Oryctolagus cuniculus: one gene and its partner. The protein of the gene in region 1 interacts with the protein of each later gene in a pairwise test. Links are inferred from orthologs where the notes say so. Each region holds a gene or a part of one and is shown on either strand. Other genes may lie near its edges.

Region 1 (3,746 bases):
TTCATTCCCCAGATGGCTGCAGCAGCTGAGGCTGGGCCGTGCCGGAGCCAGGAGTCTGGAATTCCATCCGAGCCGCCCATGTGGGTGGCAAGGCCATCACTTGGGCCATCACCTGCTACTTTCCCAGGCGCATTAGCAGGGACTTGGATCAGAAGCTGAGCAGCAGGGACTTGAACCAGCACTCAGCTATGGGATGTAAGCAGCAGCTTAACCTACTGCTGCACAATGCTGCCCCCCTCTGAGGGCCTTTAGCCTGCCTCCACTGGCTGCCCTGGATGTGCATGACCCAAGGGCAGCTGGGCTCTAGGCCACAGGCTGGGATGTCTCCAAGGTGGCACCTGCCCAGGAGGCAGAGTGAGGCTTGTTCACTGATAGGTTCTCAGGTCTAATACACTCAGAGAAAGAAAATCCCAAAGGAAGTATAATTTGCATCCCAGCCACCCCCACCTCCCAAACTCAGAGTCATCACTTTAATGAGAAAGGAAAAGCAAAATTCTGTCCCATGCAAATGAATCCCAGCACAACCGCTCAGGAAGGAAGTACTCCCCCGATCCAGCCTGCCTCCCTCTAGTACCATCCTGTGTAGCCCACGCCCTCCCCAGAACCCTAAGGTGTGCTAAAGAGGAAACCGGGGCCTAGAGAGGGGAGATCACTTGGGCACTGCTCCCGTCACCCCCAGCCCAGTGATGGCACAGGCAGCCTTGTCAAAGTGTGGTCTGTGTGCCAGTGTCCGAGGCTGGACCCAACTTCCAGGAACTTAGCCACACTGCACCACGGTACCATGTGGCCTCTGGGCCCAAGCTGCCAGGCCTAGGTCTCAGATTTGCTACGTGCTTTCTCTTGAAGCTTGGGACACGGCTCCCCGGGCCCAGTCCCCAGAGCAGAAGTAACCTGGCCAAGGACAACTGGCCAATCCAATGCCCCGTCCTATTTACCTATTGTGCAAAGTGCCCTCCAGGCGGCCCACATTGGCACTGTTCAGGCCATGAGTGGAACCTCAGAGAAGACAAGGGAGCAAGGGTCAGTTTGGGGTCAGTTTGTGCCCTAGGAGGGTCTGGGTGTGGGAGCTTAAGGGAGCCCAGAGTCGTGCCAGGGGCAGAAATGGATGGAGGGCTAGACTGAGAGCCCAGCACTTAGGTGTGGATGGAAGGAAGGCAGCCAACAGAATGGATGACCTGGCTTGAGTGGGTGGGGCAGGTGCAAGCCCCGGTTCCACCATTTACCAGCCATGTGGCAATATGGCAGTCACCTCTTCTGGCTTCATGACTAAAGGGACAGGAGGCTCCAGAGGTGTGAGATACAGTTCAGTAAACTGCACTGTTGTTAGGCAATGCCACCCGCATTTGAAAAAAATACTTTCTGAGGCCGGCATTGTGGAGTAGTATGCAGAGCTGCCACCTGCAATGTTGGCGTCCCTTATAGATGCTGGTATGAGTCCCAGCTGCTCCACTTCTGATCCAGCTCCTTTCTAATGTACCTGGGAAAGCAGTGGAAGATGGCCCAGGTTCTTGGGCCCCTGCACCCACGTGGGAGACCTCAGATGAAGCTCCTAACTTTTGCCTGGCGCAGTCCTGGCCCTTGCTGCTGCATGGGGAGTGAAACACCAGATGGAAGACCTCTGTCTCTCCTCTGTCTCTGTAACTCTGACTTTCAAGTAATAAATCTTTAAAAAATATTTCCTTGGGCAAGTAAGCAGTGTGTGTGTGTGTGTTGGGGGGCTTGCAGCATTGGGGTGGTCACAGGGCTGCAGGATTCTTATGCTGAAGACCTGTGCTCTCTAGACCTGTGGGGCTTGGTCCCTCTCCCGTGGGCTCCAGGTGGCAGCAGAGACGCTGCACACGCCTGCATCGCCCACCCAGAGAGCAGCCTCCTGTCCAGCTGCCCATTCCCAGTGGCTGCAGCTAGGTCCGTGTTTCCAGCATCAACCTTCAGCCAAGGCATCGATACGTTTTCTTGGTGCTGAAAGGGGTGGGTGGACATCCATGAGCCCCCTTCCTCTTTAGAGCCTGCTAGAGCCCTCCAAGTGGTACTACCTGGGACTCTGGGATGCAGTTGCGGGTAGCGGCCTTGTTTGCCGATCACCCGGCAGGCTTAGCGGAGTGTGTGGAGGGGTTACTGATCACCCAGGTCTGCATCTCTGGGGACTCACGTTCCCTCCCCGAGCCCTCTGGGCCAGGAATGCACTGCTTGGTGCAGCTTCCAGGTCTAGCTGTGGAGAAACTGCGTAGGGTGGAGGGAGACACCCCCGGCCCCGCCGCACAGCTCGGCCTCGGGTTCCCCACCCCATTCCACCCCAGCCCGCCGCCGCCCCCCTGCCGCTGGGCACAGGCCTCAGGCCAGGCGCACAGCAGGCGAGCGAGAAGGGACAGCGGCCAGACCATTCACCCATTCAGCCTCCCCGCCTCCGCCGCCGCCTGTGCCCGTGGAAAGCGCAGGCGCCACTGCAGCGCGCGCGCGTCGCCGGCGGACGAGCAGGGCCTGGGAATGGGCGGTAGGCCCGGGTCGCCGCCCCTCTGCTGGCCTCAGCTTCTCCCTGGGCACCGCCTGCATTCGGGACTAGGGCGGAGACCCCAGTTTTCCGAGCCCGGCCGTTGTGGCCCTGCCAGGGGCTTGGGGGACCCTCCCCTACCCGCACCGCGTCCCCGCGCGCGGTCGCGGCGGTCCCTCCGCTCACCATGTCGCGGCGCAGGCGGGCGGGCAGCAGCAGGTGGCGGCCCAGCTAGCGAGCTAGCGAGCGGTCGGGCGCTCTGTGGCCGCCCTGGGGCGGGGCCGCGCTCGGGCCGCCCCCTGGTAATGATTAACAGCGGGCTGGGCTCCGCTGGGCTCCCTTCCAGCACTTTCCTCGCCCACAGAGACACTCCGCATGCAAGTGACAAGGTTTGGGGTGATGCTAAGACCCCGGGCGCGCATCATCCAACTTGAAAAAACAAACCTCTGTAGTCAGATGTGATTGACAGACAATAAACTGCACAGGTTTTAAATACACAGTTTGCTAAGTGTTGACACAGGGCTGCCCTGGGACACCCCGCCCTCCAGTTCCCTTCTGCCCGACTGTCCGAGGCCCCACACCTGCGTTTCTTTCATGTGAATAGACCATACACATCCACTAGAGGGAGCTTCATAAAGTTCATGGAAAATGCACGTTATAAGAAACTGTTATGCAGTTAGTATTCTTTTGCACCAAAATAAACTTAATTTTTAAAAAGATTTATATCTTTATTTGAAAGGCAGAGTAACAGAGACTGAGAGGCAGAGACAGCGATTGATCTTGGATCCACTGGTTCACAACCCAGATGGCTCCAACAGCTGCCAGGTCAAAGCCAGGAACCTGGAGCTCCATCCAGGTCTCCCACATGGGTGGCAGGGGACCAGGCACTTTGGCCATCTCTGCGGCTTTCCCAGGCGTGTTAGCAGGAGCTGGAGCGGGGCTCAAACCAGCGCCCACATGGAATGCTCCTGTCACAGGTGGCGACTCAACCTGCTACACCACAGCACCGGCCCCAATAAACTTGTTTTAATTCCACTTTCCATGAACTTTATGAAGTCTGCCCTTGTTAATATTGCAGAACTCCAATTTGTCAATTCACTGTTGACGGACATTTGGGTAGTTTTGGCTTACAGACAAAGCTGCTGTGAACATTCCTGCAGTCTTTGTGTAGACACGTGCTTTCATGTTTTCTAGGGTGAATTCCTAGGGATGGAATGTCTGGGTTGTAGGAGAGATGTGTAACTTGTTAGGAAGCCAC
Region 2 (3,746 bases), on another chromosome or scaffold:
ACTGCTCCACTTCCGACCCAGCTCTCTGCTGGTGGCCTGGGAAAGCAGTGGAAGATGGCCAAGTGCTTGGGTCCCTGCACCCGCGTGGGAGACCCAGAAGAAGCTCCTGGCTCCTGGCTTTGGATCAGTGTAGCTCCAGCCGTTGTGGTCATTTGGGGAGTGAACCAGCTGATGGAAGACCTCTCTCTCTCTCTCTGCGTAACTCTGCCTTTCAAATACATAAATAAATCTTAAAAATAAAAGAAGAAGGAAAGAAAGCCAGACGAGAGAAAGGGCTTTGTGCCTTTGCAGAGTCCAGCTCTCGAGAGGCGGAGCAGGCTGGGTCTGGACGGTGGCCTGGGCCAGGGTCTCTGCTGTGCTCCCGGGGTGGGAGGGCTGAGCCCGGCCCACTGACGTCCCTGCGGGAGCCACAGCCCCACCCGAGCCCCCGGCCTTTCCTGCAGCCCCGCTGGGGCGGGCAACACAGCCCTGTGCAGACGCAGGGAACCCACGTGCTGCTGCTCCCGGGGCAGTGCGGGCTGGGACACACACACACACCACACACACACACACACATACACACCACACACACACCATGCACCACACACACCACACACACCACACACACCACACACACCACACACACACACACACACACACACACCATGCACCACACACACCACACACACCACACACACACACACACACACACACCACACACACACACACACACATACCACACACACCACACACACACACCGTGCACCACACATACCACACACACACACCACACACACACACACACACCACACACACACACCACACACACACACACACCACACACACACACCACACACACACCACACACACACACACACCACACACACACACCACACACACACACACACCACACACACACACCACATATACACACACACACCGTGCACCACACATACCACACACACACACCACACACACACACACACACCACACACACACACACCTCGCGGGCTTCTGGGGGCTTCCAGTGGCATGCGGGAGAGAAACAGGTGGGGCTGTGGTGGGGCTCCGCCCAGAGCAAACAGAGTCCCGGTGGCTGTGCAAACACAGGGGTACAAATGGGCCCGGCGGCGGGTGCTGGCACTCCTGCGTGCCCACAGCCGGAGCGGTTACCATGGGGATCCGAGCGCTCTGGCTGCTGCTGCTCATCCTGGCCTTGGGGTCCTCGGGCTCTGTCGGGGAGGACCTGGGCCTGTGTGAGTACTGGCTCCTGGGGAGGTGGGCCAGCACCGGGCAGGCGGGCGGGGTCCAGGCCGAGGGCGCCATCCTGGGCTCAGAGCAGCGCAGGCGGACACGCCGTCCTCTGTTTCGTCTGCGCCGCTGGGCACAGGCGGGCTTTCTCTTGCAAAAGCCCTGCCAGGAACCTGAGGCCCAGGGCAAGGCAGGGCTGAGCGCAGGCTGCGGGGCTCGCCCTGCCCCGCCCCTGCCCAGCGCCGTCCTACCAGGGGTTTCTGGATGAATTTTTGATCTGGCGCAATTGCAAACCAGGAAAGGCAGGAGAGAAACCAACCTCCCAGAACACTTTTACATTTTTTAAAGATTTATTTATTTATTTGAAAGAGTTGCACAGAGAGAGAGAGAGAGAGAGAGAGAGAGAGAGAGAGAGAATCTCAACCGCAACAGCCAGGGCTGGGTTAGGAGCTTCCTCCGGGTCTCGCAGGTGGGTGCAGAGGCCCGAGCGCTTGGGCCATCCTCCACTGCCCTCCCAGGCGCATTAGCGGGGAGCTGGGTCTGAAGTGGAGCAGCCGGGGTTCCAGCCGTACCCATGTGGGATGCCAGCGCTGCAGCTGACGGCTTAGCACACTGCAAACACCGTCCAGGAGGCCTCCTTTTAGGCGTTATGTGGGAAGCCCCTCTCGTGGGGACAGAGCCATCACCTGCAAAGTGGAGCAAGCAGAGGCTGGTGCTGTGGCCCAGCGGGTGAAGCTGCAGCTGTGGAGCCTGTTCCAGTCCCGGCTGCTCCACTCCTGCTCCAGCTCTCTGCTGTGGCCTGGGAAAGCCCCGGAGGATGGGCCAAGTGCTCGGCCCCTGCACCCACGTGAGAAACACAGAAGAAGCTCCTGGCTCCTGGCTTCAGATGGGTCCAGCCCCAGCTGTGGGGGCTGCTTAGGGAGTGAGCCAATGCATGGATACGCTCTCTCTGCCTCTTCTGTAACTCTGCCTTTCAAATAAAAAAAAATGAAGCAAGAACACGCCAGCAGGGGCTCTGGCAGCTAACTGGGCTTTGTCTGGGGCAGCGGCCAGCCAGTGCGTCATCCCGGCCCAAGAAAGGGTGGACTGCGGCTACCCCCAGGTCACCGAGGAGGAGTGCAAGAGCAGGGGCTGCTGCTTTGACTCCAGCATCTTCGGGGTGCCCTGGTGCTTCAAGCCCCTGCAGGACACAGGTGAGCCCCAGCGCGGCCCCGCGTGCAGACCCAGGTCCCCAGACAGCTGCCCACGGGCCTGGGTCCTCAGCGCCGTCCACTGGAGGAGGCCTCCCAGTGCCGTCCACGCCCAGGGAAGCCGCGGCTGGTGGCTGTCCCCTTTCTGATTCATGTCGAAGCCATAGCTTCACAGACGTGCTCTGAGCGAAGGCTTCAGGTGGAGGGGCCCGGGGTAACAGGTGTCCCAGGACGGGGTGGGGGGCACGGAAGCCTGGCTGCTGGGAGACGGCAGCAGTGGCTGAGCCGGGCAGCAGCCCTGGAGCTGCCCCACCGTGATGGTGTGGCTCTCCCCTCCCGCGGTGCTGCAGGCCGAGCAGGGCAGCGCCCCTGGGGACCCCTCCTGGGAGGGGTAGTGGGCCCCGGCCCCTCCCACCCACTCTGGGCGTGGCTGACGGCCCTCAGCCAGGTGCCATGCCCACGGAGGACGTTCCCAGGGGGACAACTCTGGCCGTCAGCACCGCGAGGGGCCACTCTTGGCCTTTGTGCCGGGATAACAGTGAGAGGCCGAGTCCCAGGTCACCCCGATCCCAGGCACTGAGGGTGGCCCCAGCCCCTGCGCCCTGCCAACAACTCCGGGGAGAAGGCAAGAGACGAGGTTGCCTCTTCCCCGGCTGTCCCCTGCCTCCTGCCGTCCCTGCTGGGACCCCCTTCTCCCCTGAGCACTGGCTGGTGGCCCCGCCCTCTGTCACCTGCACTGACCACCTGCGTCCAGGGACCTCAGTAGCCCCTGAGGTGGGTTGCGAGGCCACCCGCTAGGAGCTCACCACTTCCCCGGGGACCTGGGGGCGCGCGCCCCAGCTCTAGGCATGGTCTGGGCGCCTGCGCTGCTGGAGGAGCTGTGCACGGAGCCGAGCCGCTCACCACACTGTCTCCGTGCTCCTTCCAGAATGCACGTTTTGAAGCGCAGCTGCGGCCTGCCGGGTCCCCGGGTGTGAGGCCCCTCCCGCCCTGCTCACCCCGCTTCTCTCTCCCCGCCTCCTGCCTGCTGCGATCGCCAAACCTAATGCCTGGAGCCTGATGTCTAGAGAATAAAGAACCCGTGCCCGGCACGGACCCTTCATCACCCCGCCAGTTCCCTTTCTTCCTCGGCACTCGGGGGCAAGGAGGGGGAGGGGCTTCCGCTGCCCGGGGGAGGGGCAAGGAGGGCGGGAGGGGCTTCCGCTGCGCGGGGGAGGGGCAAGGAGGGCGGGAGGGGCTTCCGCTGCCCGGGGGAGGGGCTTCCACTGCCCGGGGGAGGGGCAAGGAGGGCGGGAGGGGCTTCCACTGCCCGGGGGAGGGGCTTCC

The links.
Region 2: the proteins of PCBD1 (region 1) and TFF3 interact in binary tests that used the Homo sapiens proteins (3 or more experiments, as listed by UniProt). The two-hybrid records come from large-scale screens. The link is inferred for Oryctolagus cuniculus from reciprocal best matches to the Homo sapiens genes PCBD1 and TFF3.

Annotation. Positions count from the first base shown.
Region 1 is NC_091446.1:62,317,294-62,321,039, forward strand, and holds the start of PCBD1 (pterin-4-alpha-carbinolamine dehydratase), read right to left. Parts: upstream 2,810-3,746; 5' UTR 2,678-2,809; coding exon 2,675-2,677; intron 1-2,674. UniProt on the Homo sapiens protein: Involved in tetrahydrobiopterin biosynthesis. Seems to both prevent the formation of 7-pterins and accelerate the formation of quinonoid-BH2. Coactivator for HNF1A-dependent transcription.
Region 2 is NC_091435.1:3,229,063-3,232,808, forward strand, and holds TFF3 (trefoil factor 3), read left to right. Parts: upstream 1-1,122; 5' UTR 1,123-1,153; coding exon 1,154-1,235; intron 1,236-2,276; coding exon 2,277-2,423; intron 2,424-3,348; coding exon 3,349-3,362; 3' UTR 3,363-3,525; downstream 3,526-3,746. UniProt on the Homo sapiens protein: Involved in the maintenance and repair of the intestinal mucosa. Promotes the mobility of epithelial cells in healing processes (motogen).